Arabidopsis thaliana: one gene and its partners. The protein of the gene in region 1 interacts with the protein of each later gene in a pairwise test. Each region holds a gene or a part of one and is shown in the gene's direction. Other genes may lie near its edges. The genes, in order: PRA7, BTI3, AT5G27970 and AT2G34460.

Region 1 (6,637 bases):
GGAAACGACAAAGGGACCGGAATGGTTATAACAGAAACCAGTAAGTGTGTTAACCACTAAATACATCCTCTCATAATCAAACATTTATATGCGTATTTCATCATAATTAACAGGCTGAATGTTATTTATATATATGTATTGCAAGTTATGATCTAAGAATGATTCTGATTCGGACATTTTTTCAGGTGGTTAGAACAGGAGGAAACATCTTGGACCTCTTTCCTTTCACCAAGGTCTTGGTATCAGGAAAGCAACCGTCACCGACTTCCTCAACTGCACCATCTCCTGTCACACTAATTGGATAGGCGACCAAATGGATACCGAGCATGTCTACGACCTTGTCTCCACTGTAAATCTCCCACATTTGCTCTCCTATTGTCCGTAACCCTCGGACACATTCAAGACTCTCTGGCTCTGACGATGATAAGTCATCTGCCGTGATCTTGCCACCGGTATGCTCATACCAGAGCGATAACCGGTAAGCTTGGATTTCGTTGGTGTTGTTGGTATTGGTTTGGTAGCAACCTATTGCAATCTCGGTGTCCCGACAACCATCCATTGATCTCTGGTTTATATTGGCTGATCCTATCAAAATGTATGTGTCGTCCACTACAAACATATGACAATCTCTGTAATTTAAATCTTAAGTGAAAGTTTGTGAAAGTTTAACGAATCTTCAATATATTTTCATTTCAGATTGTGAATTGCGGATTGTTTGTTACCTATCATGAGCTTGGAGTGGACATAGACCATGAATCTCCGATTCCTCTGCGCATTCCAGTAATGCGTTTTCTGGTGGGGCGACGAAACTGCTTCAAACTCCCCATCTCTCTTCTCTTCTCTGTTTGCAAGACAGAAGAAGTTTAGATAATCCCTCGGATGCGACTTGTCTCCAACTTCCCATATCGCCTCTCCAATGATCTGATACATCATTGACATCGTCTCTCTCGTCCAATGAAGTATCTCTTCAACCGTTTCACTCTCCGGTGGCCCTTCCGGCCACATCGGTATGACTATATACACAGCAAATCTCTCCCTTGCACGTATCTTAGCAGCAATCTTTAACGCTATTTCGACAGGTATCAAGTTTGTGCATCCGCTGCAGATTCTATCCATCAAAAAAAGAAATACTAAAATAGATCAGAATCTCCCAATGGATATTTAATAGCTTCGTTAAGAGAAATTTCGTACTTATCGTTCTTGCTCTCCCAATGATCACAGCTTCCCATGAAATACTGATTCTCGATGTAGATAAACCTCTCAGCCTTTCGAATTGCTGCGACATAGCCATCGTGTACACTCTTCTCTACCGGCAAACCTCTTGGCATCTCTGTTGCCGATATGTGATCTATCGATCTCAGAACTTGAACATTCCATTTCCTGTTATTTTCCTCAGTAGGTCCGGTTAGGTTTACTAAGTTTCTGATCCCTGAAGTGTTAACCAACACGGAAGGGTTACACTGTTTCGTCCATCGCTGTTCGAAGTTCTTCAGGACATCCCAAGCCGCTCCTCCAACCACGGACACATGGCAATCATGCCATGGCTCTCTTGGTCCGCCTCTACTTAGCTTAGCTCCAGCTACACTTGTCTGGTAAAAATCAGCTTCTGTTCCGAGTGTACGAAACAGTGAATGCTCCTCAGTGTCATATCGACCATCGCAAAGGTCAAACCCGCCAAGGAAGCTCATGATCTCTCGCTCCTTCGTGCTTGAATTTGTCACCCGTGTATCCAGTGTTATTGTCTTTTGGTGGTGTGCAAACGCTGTAGGGAGCTTTTTGTGCAATCTTGGACACAATCTACAAACAACGTTTGTGTTTCTGAAGTAAGCAAGAGCTCTTTCGACGTTTGTTCTCATTACACCTTTGTTCTTGATCATTGGTAAAGACGTCTCGTCGTTCCACAACATTACTCTCACCGCTACACCTTCCTCTGATTTCCGTTTCAGAAGCTCGCCAACCGTTACTCCAACCGCATGTGGAATCTCAGTTTCGTTGTCGCGTACAAGAACAAGATTAGGGTTTAGTGCCCATCCTGCAATGTAAACCAAGTGCCTAGCACTTTCGATCGCTTTGTAAACATCTTCCCATAGATTCCTTGCATTAAAAGGAACATCATCAACCCTTGGATCAAATGTGGCCTTGTGGTGTGCATCTTGATACAGTACGACTCTGCAGTTCGATCTTTGAGGGAAGCTTGCGTTCCTAATACCTTGAAAAGACGCTTCTTCAAGCGCTCTGCACCATCCCGGTTCAAGATAAGCCGGTCTGAACCACATCAAACACTTAAGCTTCAAGTTACGTTTCGTTGACCCATTGTCTGCAATCAGAGGGAAGAACCCGTTGATAACTGCTGAATTAGATGTCAGGATCTGTTCTGCAGAGATTCGGAATCTTCCGAGAACAGAACATCGAGTCTTGAGCGTGATGGTGATAGTCGTGTCAGTAACCGGGTGAGCGCAGAGGATCTGAAAAGTCTGATTCCAAATACGGTCGTATTCTGAGCTTGTTTTAGCAACTTTCTTCTTGTTTATCTTGATGGTCACGTAAGCTGCTTTTGGCTTTGTACATATACACTGTGAACAAAGATAACAAAAGCTCATGAAAATGAACACAATGATAACATCATCAGAGTCACTAATTCAGTATATGATATAGACTTACATTGAAAGGAAATGGAGGAGAAAAAGGTGTTGCATCGAAGATTGTAATCTCTAGTGTTCCATGAAAGTACTTCTTCTGTTCTTCAAGCTCCATCTTCTCTTTATTCAAAATGTATCTTTAAGAGAATGAGAGATAATTTTCTGTGAATTGTCAAGTATGTGTTTGAAGCTGGTCAATTACAGAATGCACAAGGTTATGTCCATCCATATATGTATATGTATTTGTTAATGTTTTTGGTGAAACTTGTAGGATTCTCCATGGACAATCTTAAAGAAAACATTCAACCATATAGATGACAAAATCGAAGGTGAAGTGTCTTTGAATACAAATCAAGCATTCGACTTCGGTTTTTAAAAATAGGAATTTTAAAAAGCAAAGTGTTAGATGGTATTCAAACAAAAGGTTGGGACTAAAATGTGAAAGCATGAAAATATCTGGTGGAGTTTGTAAATATTTGTGGGGATAAGCCACGTGCAGCAACAAAGCGCTGCCAAAGAAACCACTCGGTCGCAGTTTCTTTGGTGAACTAATAATATGAAATTTTTATTCTGCCGGAAAAAAAAATTAATCCTTCTAATGAATAAAATTATGCTGTTTACAAGTAATTAATCAGATTTATGTTTTGAAAATGACAGAGAATATAATATGCTGTACATTTTCCTAAGAATATGTCTCTATGATGCTGACTGTTAAACACATATAATACCAATATTGTTACCATAAATGTACAGTTGCAAAACAAATAAAAAATTATTACAATATAAAGCATTTATGTATTTATTGGGCATGTAACAACTTTTATCCATATGTGACATTTACATTAGCACCATCACCTAATCCATAGGGACACTGAGCAATTTATAAATTATTACAACCAACAAAAAAAAAAGCTTCGTGTCTCTCTTCTCCAAAAATGACGAACTACGGGGCGATTCCGACGTCGTCTCATCCATCACCGGCGATAGATCTCGAATACATCTCACGCGCCAAACACCGTATAAAATCCGGTCTAGCTACGCGCCGCCCATGGAAATCAATGTTCGATTTCGAATCAATGACTCTCCCTCACGGTTTCTTCGACGCGATCTCGAGGATCAAAACGAATCTCGGCTATTTCAGAGCTAATTACGCCATCGGAGTTCTCTTCATCCTCTTCCTAAGCCTTCTATATCACCCAACCTCGTTGATCGTGTTATCAATCTTGGTCGTCTTCTGGATCTTTCTCTATTTCCTCCGTGACGAGCCTCTTGTTGTTTTTGGTTATCAGATTGATGATCGGACGGTTCTTATTGGTTTATCGGTTTTGACGGTTGTGATGCTTTTGTTGACTCACGCTACTTCGAATATTCTGGGATCTTTGTTAACCGCCGCCGTGTTGGTTCTGATTCATGCGGCGGTTAGAAGAAGTGATAATTTGTTTCTTGATGAAGAAGCTGCGGCGGTTACTGAAGCTTCAGGGCTGATGTCATACCCTTCGTCGTAAATCCAAAAATTTGTTTTTTTTTTTTGTATGTTACTGAGTTTGGTGCGATTTGAGAAAACTTGACATGTTCTTCTACTTTGTTCAATTTGTTGACAACAGTACAATTTTTGAGTATGTTTTGTTGGTTAATTACGTTATTACATGATTAGCACTACAAACACTAATCACTTTGGATAAAGCTACTAAAAAACCATAATTGTCAATTAAGAGGACTTTGATTTTACAAAATTCTTCTATTGATCCTACGCACTATACCAAAAGAAAGTGATCAGATTGGCTAGTTGAGCTTTTAGTTATGATCTCTGAGACCTTTCTCAGTGGATAGTCTTCCATTAAACCTCCCTGAGATTTCATTCATTAACATATCTCCTTCCAATAAACGCAACACCTTCAACAACAAGCAAAAGAGCAGACACACTTGAGAGAGTTTTATTGACTTAAAGAAATGAACATGTTTCAAGAATGGTGAATCTTTTCTTTACCTGAGACATGCGAGGACGCAAATGTGGATCTCTACGTATACACAATGAAGCTGTATGAATCATGCAAATGACTTGTGTTTCTGAATATCGCTTTTCGAGCCTCGGATCAACTAATTCCTCAACCGCATACTCTTCTAATAAAGATCTTGCCTGCTCACAAAGAAAATAAAATAACAAAATGAGCTTCAAGAAAGAAACTTTTAGATTTCATTTACAAGAAGAGACTGAAAATGAGCTAAGAAACCTTAAAAAGAAGAAACTTATGGATTTACCCATTCAGTTAAACATTGTTGTCCCTTTGGTCTGTAGATATCCATTGCTTTACGACCCGTGATTAGTTCGATCAATACAACCCCGAACGAGTAAACATCGGCTTTCTCTGTGATTTGTCCACTTTGAGCATACTCTGGAGCTAAATAGCTAAAACAAGAAACACAGAAAGTAGTTGAGAAATTACTCTAGAGTGAGAATGATGATTTAGTTATAAATTTTGTTACCCGAAAGTTCCTATCACACGCGTGTCTACACCTAGCTCTCCATCAGGCTGCCATCTTGCTAAACCAAAATCTCCAACCTGAAAGAGAAACAAAAACAGAATCAAACGAATGTATAAAAAAGTGTAAATTGTGGTTCAAGAAAATATAAATACCAGTGGTTCATAATCATGAGTAATTAGTATATTGTTAGGCCTCATGTCTCGGTGAACAATGCAACCTACTCTACACTCTTCATGAAGATATCGAAGACCTCGAGCCGCTCCAACCGCTATTTTTTGTCTTGCAGGCCATCCCAAAGTGTCCTTATGGCGACCTAAATGGACATTTCATGAAAGTTAGTTAGATAACTCTAGTTAAGTGTTTTTTAGGTTAACAACATCTTTAACTAACTTGGAAACTCTATTTACCGTATAGATGAGAGTCTAATGATCCATTGCATATGTATTCATAGACCAAGAGTCTTCTGGTATCTTCGATGCAGAAACCGATTAACATAACTACGTTTCGATGCTGAGCACAGCTCAAAACTTCTACTTCAGAGCAAAACTCTACATCTCCTTGTGTACTGGCCACTTTGTGTTGCTTTACTGCTACAATCTGGCCTTCAGGTAATACACCTCTATGAACAGATCCAAATCCACCTTCTGCCAAAAAATTAGCTCGCGAAAACCCGTTTGTTGCAAGCTCTAACTCTTTGTAGGAGAAAAACCTCGGTGGTTTTCCAAATACAGGCGCTTTGTGCTGGCATATAGAACAGAGAGGAGGTGAAACAGGAGGAGCATTTCGTGATAACGCTCTTAAGGTTCCACTATACTCCTCCAAGTCTTTCCTTTTACTTGACATAGCTGCTTCTTCTCCTTCATCAAGCTTAGAAATTTTCTCAAGCAAAGCCTTTTTAGTAGATACTTGAACAGCCTTATCATCGCCTCTCGTTGATTCCTGCATCGAGACGCAATGAGTGCTAAGATATTCTGATATCCATGGTTGGAATCTCTTACTTAAGGAAGGTAGTGATAGATTTTCGCTCTCTGAATCAGAATCAGATTCATTCTCTTTGACGACCAAAGTTTCATCCTTTCTCACTTCAGCTGTGAAAACTGGCGATGATGTACCGAGGTCAGAGCTAGATACTGATGAAGTCCAAGCTTCTGTTCCTGTGAATGATGTCTCAACCTCAGGACTGCTCATTGGAGTAGTTGTAACAACCGCTTTAACAGAATCTAACAACCTGTTTTTGTTTTTTTCAGATGCTAATTCTGGTTCCTTTGTTGAAGACCCGACCAAGTTCAACCGCAGGACTTTTGCCTCAGAACGCTTCATCGCCACAATGTTACATTGTAACTCATCTATGCACCGTTTCTCTTCATGCTTAAGGTGCCTGTAAAAGAAATATAATCATTCAACCACACAAAGAGAGTAAAAACTAAAGAACTGAAGAATAAAATCAGATTATTAACTTACTTATCAAGAACTACCCAATTTGCTTGAGATTTCTTGGCCTCAGCCGCAACAGC
Region 2 (7,552 bases), on another chromosome or scaffold:
ATCAAAAACATCTGAACCGAACCGGACTCCTTTGGTTCTGACCTCTTTCCTTTTGATCTCCACCACTGTCTTGTTCAATGGGACGTGCACTATTTTACACGATTTACATCTATACGATCCTTTGATGATGTATGAATTCTTCTTATCGAACGATCCTGAATATACGTATGCCAAAATGTCGGATTTGGTGCTCAGAATATTCATCTTTAAGTTCTTCCTCATGTACCAGGTTGGGCACTTTGGTATTTTTGTTTCTCCTTTTGTATCATTTGCTTCATAGATTCCCCAACTATCTACTAGCGTAATTTTCTGGACAATACAAAGGAAAATCGTTTTTAATATACACAACATTTTAAACTCAAACTAGTACTTGTCTATAAAATTGCATTGAGTAAAAATATCTAGATCCATATGTACGTAGTCACGTCAAAATTGATCAATTTAAACGAAATTAGGCATAGCTAGATTTTGGTGAAACTAAAAGTCAAACATATAATACTCGGAGATTCTAGACGTCGTTATGAAATTATGATTATACTTTTATAGTCAAAACTTTTATGCTGAATGAAATTTTGTAAATCTATTCCCAAAGAATGTAACGGGTTACACGAAATTCTTGCCAATACAATTGTCCACATGCAGAATATTTATGAACTTTTGACGTGACCTATTGTGGACGGTGTCACGGTAGTGTAGTTGGTCCTACTCAATCTTAATAATATATATACTATAGTATTCGTAATATCTTCGTTCATACATATCTTCAATCGGCTAAAAACAAAACGTCTTCTACAAAATCGGCTAACATGTCTATCAGCGAAATTAATACTCAACATTCATTGTTCATTATTATCAACATATCGCCGACCTTAAGTACTATTTACAAACTATCACAATTCTAATGGTTGTAAGCAAATCGATCCGATACTTCGCTAGAGTGATCCGTAAGGACGACGAAAACTTCTTTCAATTTTTAAAGTATTTCTATATCATTTTGGTAAATTCCACCAAAAATTCACAACTCTTATAAATCATTTTGTTGTTGCTCCATTTATTGTTTTGTATCAATCAAGTATTTGGATGTTTTATAACTACAACCTAGAACTAATATCTACACAACTAATTTACAACTACAACGCTAACAAAACAGATTCATAAGTACAACTGTGAGACAGATTTAGTAGAGGTTTGATTCTTAATAATCTAAAATAAATGTGATATTGTAATTTTGAAGGATGATGTGTACAATGAATATAATGATCCATATTCTAAAACATATTCAAATAAGTTTATTCTAAATACTTTGTACATATATTTACCTTGGTACGATGCATGAGGAGGAGGGAGTTTCCATCTTTATCCATGAGGATGAGTTCCTCGGGTCGGGTTCGGGCATAATTATCGACCCGGTAAATCAAATCTCCATTCGAATCTATCACCGTGAATCCTTCACAACTCACCAGAAGCGATTTTCTCCACACCGTGAGTGTCGTACACGCTCCTCCAATATCTGCGGCAGCGACGGAGACTGTGGACTCTGTAGATGACGGTGCATCTTCACCGTGGACCGACCTCGACCGTTGCTTCAAGAAAGGGAACATTTTTGTAGTTTTGGTGTTCTTGGTTAACTATTTTAAGAGAGTTTTACAGATCTAATTAATCTCAATTCTCAATACAAATATGGTAAGGTTAGGTATACATATGAGATATATATATATAGATCTAATATATATGTGTGTGGATGAAAGATATTAGCTTTGTTATATTATATCATTGTCTTATTATATTATAATTTTTTTCTTCTTTATATCAACTTGCAAAGTTTTTAAATATCGCTACTTGATATTTAAATGCGACCACAAATAATACTTAGTGACAAAACTGTACTATTCTACAAAATATAAAAATAAGAATTTCACCTAAAAAGCTTTAAACGTTTTATTAATTATGAGTCAAAATTTTTAGTGTTATTTGAAAAATAATACAATATGATAAGATATTATACCATTCTATAAGTTAATTAGAATTTTTTTTAAGTTAATGAATACAGGTCATTAGATTTTTTTTTATCACATTACAAATACAAATTTAACGTACGTAACATTTACATTTAGTGGACTAGAACTCAAATCACCCTATTACAGCTTGCATATATAGTAAATTGTTTTTGTTTTATAAGTCCAAAAGGATTAGTCTAAATTACATTGTTTGGTTATCAAAGAAATTAAAATAAAAAATTAGATAAAATTAATCGAAAATGAAAACTTAACATGAAGGTTGAAATCTCCAAATTATTTACTCATCCTTTTTACCAAACTCAAATATGATATTTTTTTCTATACGTAAAACTCAAAATTGTATATACAAGAAATTTAGCTATCTAAAAATAACTATATAATAAGCCATTATAGTAAGCCACAATTTTGACCATCTACGATCTTTTCTTTTGTACGTAGTAAGGTTTGGTGCAAACTTTTGCAAGTAATTAGTATATAGCTCTTATGGATATGGTATATTCCTGATATGAACTCTGATTGGGTAATGATTAGCACTTAGCAAGGTAGTCAGATTTTTGGCTTTGGCACGCATGGGTTTCACTGTTTCAGGATTGAATTGGAATTTTTTTTTGATTAATTAATGTATAATATTTTATACAATATAAAAATATATTACTGTATTAGGTAAGAACTTTACGACAAAAAAAAAAAAATAGGTAAGAACTTTAAGATTATGCAAGGGTCTTAAAACGAGCCACGTAATCTTCTTAGACCCACGATAGTAGATTTTTGAGGTCTCCAAGAATCTCTTATCCTTTTTGTCATCGAATCTCTCTCTCTTTCTGAAGATATATTAAGAAACAAATCTCTCTTTTTCTTCGAAAAGGTTGGTTAGGTGAAGGACAATTCTCATCCACACGATTAGATGCATAAAATTATATATATAAGAAGAAAATCTAATTATATGAAATGGTGGAATTTCATGTCACACTAGACGACGAATCTTCCATATTAAACTCACTTCTAACACTGCATGTGTATGTAATTATGTATATGAATGAATATCCAAATAGAATAATATATTTGGACTAATCAAATTATTGGAAAAGTACATAAATAAATAAGTGAGCTTTCATTGTCAAACCTGATTTTGTTGATCTCTGGGTTTGCCATTACTCCAAAAAATCTTACCTTCAAGAGTGATGTCGACACAGTGGAGCACACGTGTTGTAACACGTGTCATGACTCAGCTCAAAATTGGATCCCACGGAAGAAGTTAGATCTCGAGGCCAAGAGACCAGAGTCATCAATTCAAACCCCACGTGCGTGAGAGTCACTGACTATTCTCCTCTTATCTTCCGGGTCTTCGAAATCCAATATCTCCAAAACGCAGCGTCTTGGTTAATTTTTGAGATGTCAATATATATAATCTGTGACCTTGTAATGTTTAATCAACAGGTGTATGATCATCTTTCATCTAGGAGCATTTTCATTCTATCAACATATTCTCATAACAATTTTACTATGCCTAACAATTTTTTATTTTTACTATGAAATGGATCAGTAATAAATGGGCCTTAATACTGTACCAACAATCCCATAAATGGGCCCAATGCTGGATCCTATCCGCCGACATCTAACGTTCCACTAACGGAGACGTTATCGGGAATATTCACATTAATTAACGACCGTTAGTTCCACGCCAAATATGTTACATCTGCTACAAAATAAATAGTTTGATTTTCCACCGTGGACGGTTACCTACTCGAGGCCCAGACCCGAATCAAACGGACTGGATTAAATGTTTTAAATCAAGGGGTGGGATTAAATCTGAAGCACACGCTTTTATTCGTCACAGTCTCCTCCCACACTCTTCAATCAGTAAAGAGTTTTAGGTTTTTTTTTCTTCTTCTCGGAGGTTTGTAGAATCAACAAAAATGGTGGAAGACCACAAGCACGAGGAATCGATCTTGGAGAAGATTGTTGAGAAGATCCATGGCCACGGTGACTCGTCTTCTCTGTCCGATTCCGACGACGATAAGAAATCTACATCGTCTTCGTCGTCGTCCTTCAAGTCAAAGATTTACCGACTTTTCGGAAGGGAGAAACCTGTTCACAAGGTTCTCGGTGGTGGAAAACGTATGGATCTATCTCTATTTCTTCACTTTGAACTCTGATTTTACTCGATTTTGTATCTTACATAGTGATTTTGCTCGATCTAGTGAATGTTGCTCTAATTTGAAGCTAAAATTGAGTGTATTTGAGTGCTTAATTGTCTGCTTTGCTCGAAAGTACGCTTAAATCTTGTGAAATACTCAGAAACTATGTTGAATCTGGATTCATTGTTTGCATGTAGCTGCTGATATATTCCTTTGGAGGAACAAGAAGGTATCTGGTGGAGTCTTGGGTGCTGTAACTGCGTCTTGGGTCTTATTCGAGTTATTCGAATACCATCTCCTCGCTTTTCTCTGTCACTTTGCGATTTTTGCTCTTGCAGCATTGTTCTTGTGGTCTAATGCTTGTACATTCATCCACAAGTATGTTCTTACAACATCCCTTATATGTTAAGTGTTAAGTATGAGATAACTGCCTGATCAACTGAGTTCTTATCCTCAGGTCAACTCCTCACATCCCGGAAGTTCACATCCCTGAAGATCCTATTCTTCAACTTGTTTCTGGATTAAGGATTGAAATCAATCGTGGTTTGACCCTTCTTAGGAACATTGCATCAGGAAAAGATGTCAAGAAATTTATCCTGGTATTGTTCATGTTATCTACCTCGATGCAAAGCGGTTTTCTTATGTTCCTCATAAATGCTAATACTTGCTTGCACATGTTTTAGGTAATTGCTGGCTTGTGGGTTTTGTCCATTATTGGCAGCTGCTACAACTTCTTGACATTGTTCTACACTGGTAACGATTCATTTACATCTTACTGCATTTAATCTGATAGGAATCATACTTGCATATCTTGATAACCAGCTTTTCTTTCTTGCTTCCAGCTACTGTCCTTCTCTTCACCATTCCTGTACTCTACGAGAAGTATGAGGACAAAGTAGATGCCTATGGGGAGAAGGCGATGAGGGAGATCAAAAAGCAATATGCAGTACTTGATGAGAAGGTATTGCGTAAGGTCATAAGCAAGATTCCAAGAGGAGCTCTGAACAAGAAGAAGGATTAAGGAATGTGAGTTACTCTCTCATTGGAATCGTAGTAATGGTTCAAGACATGTTTTGTTAGAAGCTGTTGGTTGATAAACCCTTTGATCTCTTGTTATTATTATGTTCATTATAAATTTGGGGGTTTTAACTAAAAATATTTAGATTATGAGAGAACACGGATGGATGATAATTATTGTTGTTAGTTATTTGTCTTAGTTAATTTCTCATCCTTTTAACAGCTCTCCATGATGGTATTCGTCATGTCAATTTTGCATCATGTCTGAGGATTGGTCCATACACATAAACTCAAATTGTTTCGTGGGTTTTTCGCTCTTCACTGCTACTGCGATCTAACTTTAGTTCATAAGAATCTTTCTTGTTTTTATTTGACTAATAATATTCTTCCCATTCCATCTCTTTCATCATCTCAACATCTTGTTCATAGGAAAAGCTAAAATGATTGGTATATGAACTAGGTTAAACGCAATTTGATAATTTTCCAAAAAAATTTGTTCATAATTCTTTTGCCAAAATTGCGATTTCACGATTTCTCGACAAAAATAATCACACAAAAAGTGGATTCCACAATACCAAACGCTTTCGGTATGATAACCATCAAATCTGGATAATTACTTAAAGTAAGCAACATACGTAAGGTAGACAACTAGGTGTTAATCACTATATATAGTTTGTAGTAGAAAACAATATCAAAAGTCAGGATGGCCGAGTGGTCTAAGGCGCCAGACTCAAGTTCTGGTCCTCGTAAGAGGGCGTGGGTTCAAACCCCACTTCTGACATTTCTGTTTTTAGTTTTATGTTCAATGACTGGATTTTTAAATTTATTATTTTTCCGATTAAAGTAGATAACTTTTTTTACAACAACCATTATTTTTTTTTTTGTCATCATTTAACCATTTACTTTCAAAAGCAAAAAAACTTAAAGATGAACAGTGACGACAAAAAAGAAAGAAAAGATGAAACAGTGAAAGCCAAGTACAGTCATTTTGATTAAACCGTATTCATTAACCAACTTTTCACTAACTATGGTAAACCAACCCCTGACCCGAACCGAACCGTTCTTGTTTTTAACCAATGATTCATTCAATCAGAGTCTTTATCCGTAGAAGTCAATACCTCCGTCTCAGCCGCACCCAAATCCGGAGCTATTCCGGTGCCGTTGTACTGCTGAATCACCAAAACCGATGCTTTTGTCGAAGATTCCGGCGAAATCAACAAGCTTCCTACAGGTCCAAGCTCCGGACATTCACTATTCTCCCTAATCGCCAATGCAATTTCTCCACCTGGCATTCTACCAACCAAAAACAAATTGCTCCGCCGCACTTCCTCAATCGCCGATCTAACATCCACGGCGGCGTTTTCAATCTGTTTCTCCACGAACTTAACCGATTCGTCCACCGAAGATATCTTCCTTATCTCAGACATAATCTCCTCATCCGATTTCAGATTCTTCACACTCTGATTCTCGTTGTTATTGTTACTCACTTCAACATTAACAATCTCTCCGACTCTCTCCGGCGATACCACAAATCGGAAAACAGTCAAAACAATTCCGGGATGCTCCGCCATACGTAATCCATAAGCCAACGCTTCACGATCATCAGGACCACCGAAGAACAGAACAACAACAGAGTAAGAAACATCTTGAGCTGAGACTTGACTTGAACCTCCGAGTCCACGGTCAACGAATATACCAACCGAACAAGGAGCTTGAAGCAAAACTCTCCGGTTAACCCAACGGTAATCGCCACGTGTAGTCTCTAACGAACCATCAAGCTGTTGATGCTTGTGAAACGGAAGAATCACAATGGCTGCTTTTTTTCTTACAGCTGTTGTGCAGATATCTTCATGAATATCAGACATTGAAGAGATTGCTGTCATTGGTCGGACATTGACTCTGCTTAGCTGTTGAAAAGCTTGGAAAGCAACTACTACTTGATCAGCGTCTGCGTTTACTCCTCTTCTGTTCCAAAACGGCATTCCGTTTTTCCGAACTTTATGAACCATTAGAATAGCTGATGATCTCTCTGATAGTTCCCGTAAGTGGAGAGCGTAAACGCAGAGCCCTTCGCCTTTTTCGATACCTCTTGATGCTTCTAGGAGGTTTATCATTGAAGGAATGCTTCCTGCTCCGTGGAAACATGTGAGGATTCGAAGCTGTGTGTTTGTGTTCTCTCGTTCTACTGCCCTGTGTTTGTATTCTCCTTCTTTCTTCGCTCTTCTCGCTGGTTTGTAGACTGCCATTACGACTGGTGTGGTGATGAAGGTTGTGAAGAGAGCCATTAGAACCATTATGGCAAATGTCTGATCATTAAGAACCTGAGGACACAACAAAAGAAAGATTTAAGTTATAAACTTTCATGACGCAAATTGTTAA
Region 3 (8,176 bases), on another chromosome or scaffold:
ATGGGTTCAGAAACCGTGACTTTTGTCCAACTTTAAACTCGAATTGTGGATAGAGTTTACCTCGTAACAGAGATCCGTTTGTTGCTGTGTGTTCCTCACTGTGAGATCTATCCAACAACACCAATAGCGTGATCTGGTTCCTTCAGATCTGACGGGAAACCGCTCACTAATAACTCTACTTGGACTGATATCTTTCTTCCTGTTCTTTACTAAATATTCAAATAGATTGAATGATAAACCATAAATCCTCAAGGAACTACACATAATATCATGAGAAGAGATCAACATGAGGTTAGGATCCTTACCCAACAAGCCGGTGACAACCGGTGATGACTACGACTCACGTTACGCGGCGATCTACTTGACGTTGCCACCTCTACACAATAGAAACTGCATCCACGAACCAAACCGACGACTCCGATCTAAATGTTAGTGTCTTGAAGTTGTAACTCTCCTTAGTTTCTCAATGTTATGATCGATAATGGTGATGAAGCAAGGTTGCAGGGACGAAGACGACGTTATATACACATGTATATACACACTTCATGATTAGGTTTTGTTGTTAGGTTTTTGTTGGGCCTATAATGGGCTTAGTGAGAAATTGAGTCTCACATTGAAACCTTATATTACAGATAAAATCTTAGAATTAATGGATTTGGGTAGATAATAATATGGGGCGCTATACTATAGGTAAAATCATATAATTAACAATCAAAATATAAATATACAATCTTAAACACTAAATAGAATTATTTTTTTAAAGAAACACATCTCAATTCTTTTATAAGAAGTTTATACATTATAAACGTAAAATGGTCTCTATTTTCCCACGAGAACGATCGTATCTAGCCAGATAAAGCCCGATCTTTGACCTTTGTCTGTATACACATGAAACGGAAGTTAAATGCTTATTTCCCCACCAATTGAAAGTTCGAGAGCTTAATGTCCATGAATCCTGGTTTCGTCGGTTTAGTGCGTAAACCCGAGACGAAACAATGTTTCGGTCGTAACTTAACCAAAAAAAAAAAACAGATTACAACCTATTGTCGTTGTCTTCATAAAAATCAAAATCCCAAAACCCCCAAATTCAAATTAAGAACCCTAAAAAGCTGAATTCTTAATTTTGTAATTGAAAACCGGATTTCCAGTTTAGGATGAGCAACCTTTCATCGAGTTCGACGGGATCAACGGGACCACGTGGAAGAGGAAGAGTGGTCGAAGTGCCATCAAGATGATGGTGCGAGGAACTAAATTGGTAGTCAACATAAAATTGAGGATTTAAATCACCAAGTACATAGTTCATGCTTTAAACCAACGAAAATGGTAAACTAATGATTTAAATGACATTTTTCCCAATGTATATATATAATAACTACCCAACACTATGAATCATGATAGTTCCTTTTTTCTTTGATAATATTAAGGACATCAAGGCACTAACAAACATGGCAACCTTATGAAAGTATAAAACAATTTACATAACAAAAAGGTTAAGACCAATTAGTTTAACTAAAAATGAATGTTATCGAATTTACAAAATTATACGTGATTTGAAGTATTCCATTATATACATTTTTTTTGGGACAAATTCCATTACATACATGTTTTTTTTTGGGACAAATTCCATTACATACATGTTTTTTGGGGACAAATTCCATAAACAAAAAATACTTCACTTTTTTTCTCTCTCTCGGGCAACTTTCTAAATCTAGTTTTTTTTTCTTCTTTTTTTTTATTTCTTTTTAATCTTCACTTGAGGTTTACGACTTCAACGGTGAATCAAGGGGGAGCAAGCTTCCTTCTCCAACAACGGTGATGTGTGTTATTCGTCATGTGACGCATCTATGGCTCTTTCATGGCGGTTTGAGAAGCTATGATATCGTTCGCTCTGATTCGAGGACGGAGGTTTCATAGACGAGTGTCTCACGGCTCATCCGCCCTATTGGCCGCTGCGACTAGCGGTGGAAGTTATCCGACGACTTTTTTCGTGCTATGTTTGTCAATCTCCCAAAATATTTCTGTATCTAGATTATTCTTTTTTGGTTCATTATAAATAAATATATTTAATTTTAAACGTTCATAGTGTATTTTAAATTTGGAACCAATAAAATGGGAGAGAAATAACACATGTCAAATAAAGAGATGACATATGTCACAACTTTAGAACATATGTTTTGTGAAAAACTTATTTTATTATATAAGATATGTTGGTTGTAACAAAAAATAAAATAAAAAATTCTACTTCACGGGTTCTCTCCTAGTTTCTTTAATGAGTTATCCGAACCAAATAAAAACTTGATTCGAATCCGGATTTTATTCAATCGAACTGAACTAATCAAAATTTCATCAAAAAGTAATAAATCTTCTTAATATATTTATATCATTGAAACATATTAAAAGTCTATAAAATAATTAGGTTTTTAATAAAGAAATCCAGCCCCAATCCAAAAGAAAAGACCAACTAATTCCTCGCCTTTTGCAATTTCGTATAATTATTTCCCAATTTTTGTGTTTGTTAATTAAATCTCTAAATGTTCGCTGACTTCATAAATTTGGATTACGTAAAAAACGACTTTCATTAGTAAAAAGCTGAAGAAGAGTGGTGAACATATTGTACCACGACCCCTCTTGTTCTACACATCTATCGAAAAGCTTAGAGACTAACAATATTTTATGTAAGAAAGTTGTTTTTTTTTATTCTAGACTTTCACATGATAACAAAAAATATAACATATATCTAGCTAGATATTTACATAATGATTCCATAGTAGAATCATATTTTTGTTTGTGTGAAATGATTGTAATGTTTTCCTCATCTTGAAGATTCAAATCCTTTTTTTCAGAAGTTGTACAAACCACAACCAAATATCTTTATCTTCCACCTCAACCATTGTTTAAAGAATTAGCTACAAACATTTACGGTTATCTTCCACCTCAACCATTGTTAACAGTTAGACTTTTATGAAGTCAACAAATTCTTAAAGACAATTGGCAAACGCAAAATTTAGTCATTTTATCCAAAATTCTAAACTGAAACGGAGCCAAAATAAAATTCAGTTTTATTTGGTGCCTAATTTATAAAATCCAATAATACGTAACCCACAAATCTCGAACCAAACTATACCAAAGAATACCCAAAATTAATATCAGATTTGAGGCACGTGAGATACGCCTGCTAAGATACACACAGCTCGAAATCTGAGTCCTTCTCTTCTTTTTCGCCATCGGAAAGTTCTTACCTTCGATTTCAATTTCTTGCTTTCTTCTCAGTTCGTCACGATCGGAGCTTTTTGTCCGATCTCAAATGCCCAAACTCCTCCATTTAGTTATCTTCCCGGTAGCATCTAAGTAGCTTGAAATCCCTAATATCGGAGTTGCTCTCTCCCAGAAAATCTCGAGAGGTTCAAGTAACGAAAATGGCTTTGGTGGCGGCTTTAGAGGCGGATCTTCGCGCTCTCTCCGCCGAAGCGCGGCGGAGGTATCCCGCCGTGAAAGACGGAGCCGAGCACGCAATCCTAAAGGTTAGGATTTCTCCACAGTAATGTACAAGTGTGTTGTTCGAGCTTGAATTCACTGTAATCATTGAGATTCAAATTGGTGTTTGTTTTAGTTAATTCGCATTATAATTTTCCACTTTAGACTCTAAAATTGAATTGTTGAACTCAGTGAGCTTGGAGAATGGATAGCATTTACATTGTTGGAATCTTTGTTGGAATGTTTCTGGTGAATTGAATTGTTAAATGTGGAGTCATTCTTGCTTTTTCAGCTTCGGTCGTCATCGAGTGCCAGTGATCTTTCAAGCAATGAAGACATTCTTCGGATATTTCTGATGGCGTGTGGAGTCAGGAATACAAAGCTTAGTGTTATAGGACTTTCCTGCTTGCAGAAGCTTATATCTCATGATGCAGTTGAACCATCATCTCTAAAGGAGATACTTTATACATTGAAAGATGTAAGTTGGGGTTTCTGTACCTCTCTGCATTATATTAGATAGTAATATAAAGCTATCCTTCGTCTTCTTCTTTTTTATTTGAGTTAAGGCAAAACAGCTATCTGACGCCGTGTTTCCTTACTTGCAGCATTCAGAAATGGCAGAAGAAAATATTCAACTAAAGACTCTACAAACTATTCTAATAATATTTCAGTCTCGACTACATCCAGAAACAGAGGTGAATACACCAAGCTTGATCTAGTAAGAATGGAAGTCTAACACAAAACTGCTGGTAGTCGAAGTTGGAAATTTAACAAAACATCAATCCTGATCCTGGTCTTTAACGTAAACAAAACTTAAAATAGTTTTATGCATATAACAATAGAATGCAGATGTCAGGAATTTTTTTTTTTTTTTGGAGTGACCCATCAAATAAGACCACTAAACCAAACTGTCCTGTACTAATGTAAAATCATTAGTTCTCCATTGATCTGCTTGCTTGTTGCTTTGATAACTTTAGCTTCTTTCTTAATTCCAGGATAATATGGTCCTAGGACTAAGCATCTGTCTCACGCTTCTTGATAATAACCGTCCTCCTAGTGTTTACAAGTACGTTGCTTTTATAAAAACCTTACCTCATTTCTCCTATATTATTATTTTCTTTTACTTTTTTGTTTTACTTTGTCAAAAATAAAATTTATGGTTTTGTTTTTTTTGGTCTCCTAGTACTGCTGCAGCTACCTTCAGGCAAGCAGTTGCATTGATTTTTGATCAAGTGGTTTCGGCTGAGTCCCTTCCTATGCCTAAATTTGGTTCGAGCAGTCAAACAGCAAGGACTGGATCAGTTACTGGAGATTTGAGTCAGAATATCAATAATTCAGGGTACGTCAGTCCTGATCAATTCTGTCTGTTGTACTCTTTTATCTTAAACTTTGTACTGTCTTTACTGGGTAAATATAGTATTAGAGCTTTGTGGAATTATGGTTATTTTTATACACACTGGGGGATGAAATGATTACATGCCGGTTGATTTGAGCTTTTCCTGATGAAGTGAAAGACATAGGCTCTCCTTTTTGAACTTACGCTTTAGTCAATTGGAACCTTGGCATTTGGTATTATTTATTTGATAGACTAATAGAATTATGAAAGCAGGCCCTTGGAGAAGGATGTTATCGGTGGTCGATTGACAATAAGAGACACCCTGAGTGAAACCGGTAAACTTGGTCTGCGGTTGCTTGAGGACCTGACAGCCTCAGCTGCAGGTGGATCTGTATGTGTTACACTATATTGATTTTGGTGCTGTATCTTTTCTCCAGCTAAGTATCGTTAAAGGGATATCACCGAATTAATTGTTATATTCATGCTTTACAGGCAGCTTGGTTGCATGTTACTTCTCTTCCAAGGACGTTTTCCCTCGAACTAATTGAGTGAGTTGGCAAGGCTTTTTAAACTCTAGTTGCATATGTTGAAGTGAAAGTTGAAAAATCATGTTTAAAATGCACGAGTTCTCAATTTACTTGGCAGGTTTGTTTTGTCGAACTATATATCAGTTTTTAAGATACTACTTCCCTACGAACAGGTAATGCTAGGATATTTCCTGGTGGGCACTTGTTTTTCATCCTTCCATTAGCGTGATGACCTAACTGTAAAAGTTTGCCTATTTATTCATCAGGTTTTGCGTCACCAAATCTGTTCCCTTCTGATGACATCGCTTCGGACCAGTTCAGAGGTAAAATCATGCCTCATTACCTTTTGTATTGTATGCGTCCATGTGATCTAAAATATAATTTGGATTAGCATTAAAGTATATCGAATGCGCTTACTTATAAGATTTTGTTACTGCTCAGCTCGAGGGAGAAATGGTTGAACCTTATTTTCGCCGGTTAGTGCTGCGGTCGGTTGCGCATATTATAAGACTGTATAGTTCGTCTCTCATCACAGAATGCGAGGTACAGTATGCAAAACTTTACTTGTTCATTTTAAACTTTGTGCTATTGACCACAAAGGAACAAGCACATGAAATGTGTTCTGCGGATGACTATGATCTCTGCAAGTTCTCTTTACTGATGTGCGTCCATCCCATTTCTGTCTGTGCACAGGTGTTCCTAAGTATGCTCGTGAAAGCTACATTTTTAGATTTGCCATTGTGGCATCGCATTCTTGTTCTTGAGATTTTGCGGGTAATCGTTACATTCCATTATTACTATTTGCACATGTATGTATCACAGAATAGGAATTTGTGCTCAATTCTTTTCAGTTCACATTTCTAAGGTATCTTGTGTGTCTGTGCATTAATAGGGGTTCTGTGTTGAGGCAAGAACATTACGGATTCTTTTCCAGAACTTTGATATGTAAGGCTAAATACTTCTCTTTGTCCTTGTGATGTACTCAATGTTGCATGTTTAGGAAACTCCCGTCTCGTTCTTTCTTCACACTGCAGTTGAAAAAGTTTCTAAATCTTATTGGTTTTTCTTGTGATTCTACTAACTTTTACTATGGACTTTTGGTAAAGATTGTAATGTTATGTCTGGTGTTATAGAATTCTCTGTTCGTCCTTTTTTTCTTTCCCTAATTATGTCTCTCGTGTGATCTAATATTAACTTTGTCTTTCAAGGCACCCCAAAAACACGAATGTTGTGGAGAGCATGGTCAAAGCACTTGCTCGAGTTGTTTCTAGCATACAGGTGGGTGTGTAGGGCAGGACGCCCGTTATGTTTCCTGTAGTCTCAATTTGCATTAGTTCTAGTAGTCGCTAATTTTGATTTGTTTATTAGTTGGTTTTAGATGTGCATTTAGTTTTACTTATTATGTGTACCTGAAAAGATTCTATGGAAGAATTTCAGGAACTGTATAGTGGCTTGTTTATTATAGCTCAAGAATTGAAATCGCATAATAGGAGTAAAACTTGGAACATAGCTTAATTCTAGAGTTGGTTTCCTTGGAAGTAGTTTCAGGAGACGAGTGAGGAAAGTCTAGCAGCTGTTGCTGGGATGTTTAGTAGCAAAGCTAAAGGTAACCAATTATTTGATGCTATGATGATTATTCATTACCTCTAAGGACCTCAGAATTCGATTAATGTTACTTCATTCTAAGAAAGATGTCATTAAATATATTCCCTATTGCTGTAGGAATTGAGTGGATTCTTGATAATGATGCATCCAGTGCTGCTGTTCTCGTTGCGAGTGAAGCTCATGCAATAACGTTGGCAATTGAAGGCTTACTTGGAGTTGTTTTTACAGTTGCCACATTAACAGATGAAGCAGTAGATGTTGGGGAGGTAATTGATGCAGGGTTCTCCTCTGCTATTACATATTCTTTCTACTCTTTACCTGATTGTCTCTTGTGTTTCATACTTACATTTCTTCAAACCATCAGCTTGAATCTCCCAGATACGAGCATCTTCCTTCATCAGATTATACTGGGAAAACCTCACTTCTCTGTATCTCAATGGTAGATTCATTGTGGTTGACTATACTTGACGCATTTTCCCTTATATTATCAAGGTATAACAACCCTTTTGTCAGACTATACATTGATTGTGAAGAGGCAAACACTGAGGACTTTGTTTAAAATAATTGTTCTTGAAGGTCACAAGGAGAGGCAATCGTATTAGAGATACTGAAAGGATATCAAGCATTTACTCAGGTAAATGCAAACCAGATTCGAAGTGTCCATATGTTATGTGGCTGCTAATTGTCGATGTGTGGAACAAATGTGTCCCTGCTATACAGTTTTTACATTGCCACTTAAGCGTATGTTGTCTACCTATCCAGAAGAATTGACGGGTATCCTTCAAATAATTTTTTCAGGCATGTGGCGTTCTCCATGCTGTAGAACCCTTGAACTCTTTTCTTGCATCGCTTTGTAAATTTACTATCGTTTTGCCAACTGATGTGGAAAGGAAAAGGTACCTTGAATATTTTGCTATATATCATATGAAAGTTACTTAATCAATGCAAGCCAGATAACTTTTTGTTATTAAATTTGTAATTTCAGCAGCGTCGTACAGTCGCCTGTGTCCAAACGTTCTGAAGTACAGGTTGATCTGAAAGATGTCATTGTCCTGACACCCAAGAATGTTCAGGTATTTAATTTGATATTCTTTATTTAGGGTTTCATTCTTTCGTACATGCACATCTTGAAACAAAAAAAGTATTCTTACCCATTTATAATTATTTGGTTAAACGTACTTGGCTGACCTAAGACCGTCTGATCTTTGTTCAGGCATTGAGAACACTCTTCAAC
Region 4 (7,340 bases), on another chromosome or scaffold:
CTTTGGAGAATAACGACCAGAATATAAAATAAACTTCTAAATTTTGAATTACATAAAAAAAAAAAAAAAAAGAAAGACCAATTATGAATACCATTTTTAATTCTTTACAAGGTAATGAATCCCATCTTTTGTCTATGTTCTTAAGAAATAAAGGGAAAAAATATGAATTGTTAAAGATTCATGTATGTTTTGAATACACAATTAGAAACTATTCAATAGAAAAAAGAAAAATGAAAATTTAAATATTCATGGATGTTTGAATACACACAATTAGAAACTATTCAACGCCCATATAAGGCAATTCAAGATTTTCAATTAAAAACTTGCTAAATCTGCACCCTTGTGATTCTCCACCTCCATTACTATATATGACCCTCGTTAGGTTCAATGAAAATTCTCTACCTCCATCTCCATTACTAAAAACAGAGACATACAACACCAAAATCTTCTTCTTCACCAACATATTCACTTTCACAGCAAAAAAAAACGAGAGGTTCTCTCTTATTCGTACCGTTTTAGCAAACAAATGGGTCGGAGAAAGATCAAGATGGAGATGGTTCAGGACATGAACACACGACAGGTTACCTTTTCAAAACGGAGGACTGGTTTGTTCAAGAAGGCGAGCGAGTTAGCCACGCTCTGCAACGCTGAGTTGGGCATCGTTGTCTTTTCACCAGGAGGCAAGCCTTTCTCCTACGGGAAACCGAATCTTGATTCTGTTGCAGAGCGATTCATGAGAGAATATGATGATTCAGACAGTGGCGATGAAGAAAAAAGTGGTAATTACAGGCCTAAACTGAAGAGGCTGAGTGAACGTCTCGATTTGCTCAACCAAGAGGTTGAAGCTGAGAAGGAACGAGGCGAGAAGAGTCAGGAGAAGCTTGAATCTGCTGGGGATGAGAGATTCAAGGAGTCCATTGAGACGCTTACCCTCGATGAACTCAATGAATACAAAGATAGGCTTCAGACAGTCCATGGTAGGATTGAAGGTCAAGTCAATCACTTGCAGGCTTCGTCTTGCCTCATGCTTCTCTCCAGAAAATAGCTAGACCGACTTGTTAGAGTTACATTCTATTTTTTGTATCAGCCTACAGAACTTACCAACACATGAAAGTTATTGCTGGTGTAGAATTTTCTGTCATCTATGGGGTGTGACTTTCTATTTGACATCAAATGAAAATGTACCTGGAAATTTGTCTGTATTAATCTCAAGTGTACTTGCTAAACTTGATCAGCTTTTTCGTCACTCTGCAGTCTGGAATTTTTGTTTCAAACAGAATCGAGACAATAAAAAGAAACAGTAAAACCCTTTGGCAACCACTCAAGAAACTGGTTAGTATTCATTGATCTCCAAATGCAATCCACAGAAACATGAGTATCAGTGAAAGAATGATCTCAAAAACGAAACAGAAACTCTTAAATATCACCGATATACAAACCCATCCTAGAAGGCTTAGAACAATGTTTCTAATGTGGTAGAAACTAAAAAGTAATCTATTCAGAATAGTCTGAGTCGGTCTCTGATTCATCGTGGGCACCTGATTCCTGCAAAATAGTAAAATGAAAAGCTCAGACTAATGTTTTATCACCGCATCAGTGGGACACTGATGTGAATAAATATTAAGCAAAAACAAGGAAAAATGAAGAACCCACTGATGTGAATAAATATTAAGCAAAAACAAGGAAAAATGAAGAAAACGGTGGTACCATTCTCTTGGTATATTCTGTCATTGCTCGGTGAAATTCTTCCCTCTTCTCAGTAGCTATATCATAATACTTTACCTTTTCCTACAAAACAGTTGAGGAACAAACAATCTAGGAGTAAGAAACTTCCGTCAAGGTCTCAACCAAAGATATCTAGGTAAGAAGAATAAAATGAGATATTGTTCGCCAAAAAGAACAAGACTGGCAACACCTGACTCATTTTAGAACATATCTATCCAACCACTATATATGCTAACATGAAACCTATTTCATTGCTTTTGTGAGTCATCCCAATGTCAGATATCATACATTTGACTATGATTTGAATAACATTATAGAGGAGACTTTTAGAAGATAGAGACAATAGACTAACTGGGACAGAAAAGCGAAACCCAAATGTTACCTCGTAAGTCATTGTTTTCCATTTCTCTCCACATGTCTTCCCAATCTGTACAGAATGAAGAACAAAACAACTTTAGCAAAAGAATCAAAGTGAACATAATAGCCACCATGTTTTACTTTGACATACAAAACCAACAAAGTAATATTCTACAACCTCGCGCATGGACTTGACATCTGGATTCTCCTCTTGATATTGCTTCCGGAAATCATCCCTTTGGAGCCAAAAAGATAAGACAATATGAGGCAAGAGGAAAATGAATACAACAAGTGTTTCTTCGTATGTTTTCTAAAGTAACCAGAACACATAACAACATAAATAATCGCATCCTAAAGACCAATGGCAAAATGCACACAAATTTCTACTTAAGAGAAGACTTAAGGAAGTCCAGCTGAGCTTAAATATTTAGATAACAATTTGGAATCATATGAGAGAGAGTACCTACAGGAAAAAGAAGAAAGCAGTGGCAGGTTTCTTGGGCATCTTCGTTTGGAGTTTAACGGGTTTCTTCTTGGGGCTTGTCTTTGGCTTTCTCAAAGGCTGAAGTCTCAGTCTTGTAGACCTCCTTGCACCTTCACTTGACTTCACAGCCAACTCTAAGTTCCTGCCAAGATTTTACAACACAATTAACAAAAATCTAACTAACATCCTCTTTCCTTGCTCTTCTTCTCACCCATTTGCCATTGGATAGCATAAAGTTCACAACTTTCATATCCAATTCCCTATCTAACCACTTAATCAGTAATAACCAGAGAGACTAAGCAGAACCCTTAAACCCTAAACAGAGAAATCAAAGCAAAACCAGGTGTAAAAAGCCAAACTTGTTCTGTAACCTATCAAAGCCAGACACAAAACTTACCGACTAGAGCCTCCGCTGCACGACGGAGACAAAGGCCCTGACTTGGGAGCTCTCTTCGTCATTTTCTCTCACTTTCTCGGAATCGAACTTTCGTTCGCTGCCTCTTTGGGGTTTTTCCGTAATTGCGTACTGAAACAGATTGTCGGAGACCTTTGCCACGTGGCGTAATCTAATCAACAAAAAAGGCAAAGATCAAAAATTTACAATTTAACAAAAGTTAACGTTTGTGGCAGAGAGGTTACACATCGATGGCAACATCTTTGCTTCTCAGACATTCCTCAGCTGTCTTCTTCTCTCAGTCTTCCTTCTTCACCAAGAACAAATCTTTTCGCTCCTTTACTTCCATCAAAGTAAGATTTATCTGTAATAAAACCATTGATTCTAGAATCTTGTATTGAATTGTGTGTTTAGATTTCCCCAATTCTGAAATTGACTTTGCTTGTTTGTATCTCAGATGGAAAAAGGTGAAGCAGAGAATGCAGTGAAGACAAAGAAGGTGTTTGTCGCAGGAGCAACTGGACAAACCGGGAAGAGGATTGTGGAGCAGTTGTTGTCCCGTGGCTTTGCCGTCAAAGCTGGTGTTCGTGATGTAGAGAAAGCAAAAACATCTTTCAAAGACGACCCGTCTCTTCAGATAGTATGTTCTTGGTCTTAATCCAATGTTTTCTCGCTCTCATTTTCTCACAACTGCTCTGTGATTTCTTCTATAGGTTAGAGCAGACGTGACAGAAGGTCCTGATAAGCTAGCTGAAGTTATAGGTGATGATTCTCAAGCTGTGATTTGTGCTACTGGGTTTCGTCCCGGATTTGATATATTCACTCCTTGGAAAGTCGATAATTTCGGGACAGTGAATCTTGTGGATGCTTGCCGTAAACAAGGAGTGGAAAAGTTTGTTCTTGTAAGCTCCATCTTGGTGAATGGAGCTGCCATGGGACAGATACTGAACCCTGCTTACCTCTTCCTCAACCTCTTTGGACTAACTCTTGTCGCTAAGCTTCAAGCCGAGAAGTATATCAAAAAATCTGGCATCAACTATACTATAGTAAGGCCTGGTGGTCTTAAAAACGATCCTCCAACTGGAAATGTTGTCATGGAGCCAGAGGTAAAACACAGCCTTTGATATTTGTTTCATCTGTTTTGTGCTGGAAACTGATAAAGATCTGACCTTTGATTTTTGTAGGATACTCTATATGAAGGGAGTATATCGAGAGACCTGGTCGCAGAAGTTGCAGTGGAAGCTTTACTTCAAGAGGAATCATCTTTCAAGGTTGTGGAGATAGTTGCTCGTGCCGAAGCTCCAAAACGTTCCTACAAAGATCTATTTGCCTCTGTTAAAGGACAATAAACTAGAATGTAATGAGTCTCATGCTCAAACCTTTTATTTCTCTTATGTCTTGAGTACAACAAACAGATTACATAGACTTTTGCGCATAAATTGAGTTCAAGATAAGTATTGAAAGAGTTCCATTCAGTTTCATATCTTATCCATTTTGGGTCTTAAGAACCCCATCATCACTGGCGCTTCTTCCCGGTCGCATGTTCCCATGAGTGCATGACATGGTTCACGATTTCCTCGACTCCAAGCCCATGCTTCACCTGCCAATGTTTAGTAATCAAAGAAGACTCTTTTGTAAGTACTAAGGTCATTGGTTATATAAGTGATGAAACATATTTCTGAAGATGGCGAACCTGAGCAAAGACAAATGGCCCTCCATCACGCATGCGTAGTGAATCCCTTTCCATGACCGATAAGTCAGCCCCAACAGCTGCTGCAAGGTCAGTCTTGTTTATCACCTGCAGTTGGAAAAATCCACAAGAGATTCTTTCACACTACTATAGACTTGATCAAAAGGAGTAAGTGAAGAGTTAAGGCAGCATAAGCGCACCAGAAGATCAGCTTGAGTGATTCCAGGGCCGCCTTTACGGGGTATTTTATCACCAGCCGATACATCGATGATGTAGATGATATAGTCAGCTAGTTCTCTACTGAAATTAGCAGCTAAATTATCTGCAACACACAACACTAAGCCTATTCATATCTCATTGGTTCCTTGAGAAACAGAAATCTATATATCGTGCAGATTAACTATCAAGAACTAGCTAGAAATGAAACCTCACCTCCACCGGATTCACAAAGAAGCAAATCAGCCTTGAATAAGTTAGATAACTCCTCAAGAGGACCCAAATTGATACTGATATCTTCACGGATAGCAGCGTGTGGACATCCACCTGTTTCAACAGCTCTAATCCTTTCCTCAGGAAGAGCCCCATTCTTCACCAGAAACTCACCATCCTCTTTCGTGAATATATCATTTGTCACCTACAACGTTTACAATATCAAAATCTTATTTAGTCACATGAGTGAGATCGAGAAAACAATCTTGTGTTTGCCACTGATAATAATACTCACAGCAGCAAGACTATATTTGTCCCTCAAGAATCTACAAAGAGCAAGCATCAATGCCGTTTTCCTGAGTCAACAAAAACAACAATCCAATGGTGATTAGACTAAAAAGTTTGACACTTTTATGAAACCCAAATCTTAAAATAGCATTCCAAAGAACCCAGACAAGAACATTATCATAGATTCATGCTTAATCCTTAACCCAGAGATTAAAATTTGTTACGGTACCAAATTACAAAATCAAGCAGTAAATTTGATCATGAAATGATTACCCAGTGCCAACGGGACCGCCAATACCGACGGTAAAAGCTCTCTCAGAGAAGTTACGGTCGTGAAGCGGAGGAGCTCGGCGACTGAAGTAGCCAGGAGAGTAGATGGGTTCGTGTGAGTGAGGTGCGAGTCCATCGTGGCTATGGTACACCTTCCCGTCCTTCCCCACCCACGACGCCTTCCCTTCTCCGCCGTCTGATTTCCTACTTGACAGAAGAAGTAGAGAAACAGATTAGTGAGGGGAATAAATCGTATCAAGATCAGAACTTTACAGAGAAAATCAATGATAACACGAACTCGTGGTCATGCTCATGATCGTGATGATGATGATGGTGGTCGTGTGATGCCATTTCCGAGAGACTCGAATCTTCTTCCGGTAGCTGTGTTGACTTTGAGTAGAGCTACTACTGGGATTCTGGGATCATTAAGCACAGTTTTTAATGTAAGAATCTTTCTATATTTTTCTATCCTAAGTGAAAGGAGATGCTTTCTCTGTCGGGAGCATAAAATGACTGTAATACCCCTGTCATATGTTAAGTGTTTGAAGGCAAAATTACAGTAGAGGAAACGTATTTTAACTGACACCAAGTTGGTATCACAGTCCAAGACTTAAAATCTTTCACTTTAAAGAAGCGATGGTTGTTAACACAATAAAGAGCACAAAATATAGGAATTAAGGGAAAGGTTTTTTCATAAGTAGGAAACAAGAAGCATAAAATCCAGACAAAGTCGAGTTCACATTCATGAGTACGCCTAACATATTGAAAAACAAAAATAACCGATAAAATCCAAAACGGGAGAGAGCACAGCTTCAACATCGATTCCACCCCAAAAAAGAGTCAATCAGAGACGTTTTACATGAACAAGTTGGGCTTGTTGGCCTTGTAAGTCGTCTTCAGCTTCCTGCTTGGTGGTCTAACCTTGCGGAACACCAATGGGAACTTGATCTTGCTGTTGTGGAACTGTTTAGTGCTCTCTCTCTTGCACAGCTTGGCTGGGACAGTGGCTGTCTTGATGATCTGAATGCAAGGGAATCTGACACGGTGACGGGATGCCATCTCAGTGTACATCTGCTCAACAGCTCCGTTAAGAGTGGTGTCACGGTACTCCTTGTACATGTTGTGGTACCCAGTTCTACTCTGGTACCTCAACCAAATACCGAAGTTCTTGATCGTTGTTGGGTTCTTCTCATAGATCTGTGCAAACAATTTGGTAATAGATTACATTAGTCAAGAGAGGGGCCAAGGAGCAATCAAACAATATAAACTCATGATAAAAACGTGATATGGTTTCAATTTCGATTCAATAGCAAGTCGAGAGAATCAAGTAAGAGACTTTGGTGAATCTAAGTTTTCTCATTTGATGACAGACAGCAAATGAAAAGTATTAACCTAGACTAACAGACAAAGAAATTATCAGAATCAGCAAAATTAGAAGTATGATACAAATAGATTCAAAGCCATGAGAGATTTGCATGATCAGGCTATTTGAAAGTTACATAAAAGTATTGTATAATAGTCAGGCAAACAAAAGACTCTGCATTTATAGGTTAAACAAAGACGCAAACGTGATCAATCAAAACCCTAGTGTTCTAGTCAAGCAAATACATTCACTTTCCAGATAAATGAATCTAAGTGCCTAACTCAATAAGATATAAGAAGTCAAACGAGATTGCGTCATTTCACAAATGAACAAGTACCTC

What was found.
Region 2: the proteins of PRA7 (region 1) and BTI3 interact in a two-hybrid assay, tested with the Arabidopsis thaliana proteins (one large-scale study listed by BioGRID).
Region 3: the proteins of PRA7 (region 1) and AT5G27970 interact in a two-hybrid assay, tested with the Arabidopsis thaliana proteins (one large-scale study listed by BioGRID).
Region 4: the proteins of PRA7 (region 1) and AT2G34460 interact in a two-hybrid assay, tested with the Arabidopsis thaliana proteins (one large-scale study listed by BioGRID).

The regions. Positions count from the first base shown.
Region 1 is NC_003070.9:20,584,876-20,591,512, forward strand, and holds PRA7 (PRA1 (Prenylated rab acceptor) family protein), read left to right. Parts: upstream 1-3,521; 5' UTR 3,522-3,574; coding exon 3,575-4,144; 3' UTR 4,145-4,324; downstream 4,325-6,637. Other genes in the region: PLDEPSILON (phospholipase D alpha 4), read right to left, coding at 182-609, 723-1,108, 1,192-2,573, 2,662-2,754; AT1G55200 (kinase with adenine nucleotide alpha hydrolases-like domain-containing protein), read right to left, coding at 4,434-4,532, 4,627-4,776, 4,899-5,046, 5,124-5,200, 5,276-5,436, 5,531-6,501, 6,585-6,637.
Region 2 is NC_003076.8:16,632,296-16,639,847, forward strand, and holds BTI3 (VIRB2-interacting protein 3), read left to right. Parts: upstream 1-3,733; 5' UTR 3,734-3,934; coding exon 3,935-4,136; intron 4,137-4,353; coding exon 4,354-4,534; intron 4,535-4,613; coding exon 4,614-4,755; intron 4,756-4,839; coding exon 4,840-4,909; intron 4,910-4,998; coding exon 4,999-5,177; 3' UTR 5,178-5,613; downstream 5,614-7,552. Other genes in the region: AT5G41590 (LURP-one-like protein (DUF567)), read right to left, coding at 1-309, 1,320-1,601; CHX18 (cation/H+ exchanger 18), read right to left, coding at 6,259-7,494. UniProt on the Arabidopsis thaliana protein: Plays a role in the Agrobacterium-mediated plant transformation via its interaction with VirB2, the major component of the T-pilus.
Region 3 is NC_003076.8:10,001,304-10,009,479, forward strand, and holds the start of AT5G27970 (ARM repeat superfamily protein), read left to right. Parts: upstream 1-3,416; coding exon 3,417-3,521; intron 3,522-3,766; coding exon 3,767-3,952; intron 3,953-4,040; coding exon of another isoform or gene 4,041-4,079; coding exon 4,080-4,169; intron 4,170-4,469; coding exon 4,470-4,540; intron 4,541-4,657; coding exon 4,658-4,813; intron 4,814-5,083; coding exon 5,084-5,201; intron 5,202-5,302; coding exon 5,303-5,358; intron 5,359-5,455; coding exon 5,456-5,510; intron 5,511-5,603; coding exon 5,604-5,660; intron 5,661-5,778; coding exon 5,779-5,880; intron 5,881-6,030; coding exon 6,031-6,111; intron 6,112-6,229; coding exon 6,230-6,282; intron 6,283-6,337; coding exon 6,338-6,379; intron 6,380-6,545; coding exon 6,546-6,615; intron 6,616-6,879; coding exon 6,880-6,943; intron 6,944-7,059; coding exon 7,060-7,208; intron 7,209-7,306; coding exon 7,307-7,434; intron 7,435-7,518; coding exon 7,519-7,576; intron 7,577-7,740; coding exon 7,741-7,838; intron 7,839-7,927; and 3 more.
Region 4 is NC_003071.7:14,526,424-14,533,763, forward strand, and holds AT2G34460 (NAD(P)-binding Rossmann-fold superfamily protein), read left to right. Parts: upstream 1-3,134; 5' UTR 3,135-3,211; coding exon 3,212-3,313; intron 3,314-3,417; coding exon 3,418-3,600; intron 3,601-3,673; coding exon 3,674-4,066; intron 4,067-4,144; coding exon 4,145-4,309; 3' UTR 4,310-4,476; downstream 4,477-7,340. Other genes in the region: AGL29 (AGAMOUS-like 29), read left to right, coding at 527-1,045; AT2G34450 (HMG-box (high mobility group) DNA-binding family protein), read right to left, coding at 1,495-1,545, 1,708-1,788, 2,108-2,152, 2,258-2,318, 2,550-2,708, 2,964-3,025; UREG (urease accessory protein G), read right to left, coding at 4,477-4,560, 4,654-4,758, 4,851-4,972, 5,083-5,284, 5,375-5,435, 5,641-5,844, 5,936-5,988; AT2G34480 (Ribosomal protein L18ae/LX family protein), read right to left, coding at 6,493-6,834, 7,338-7,340.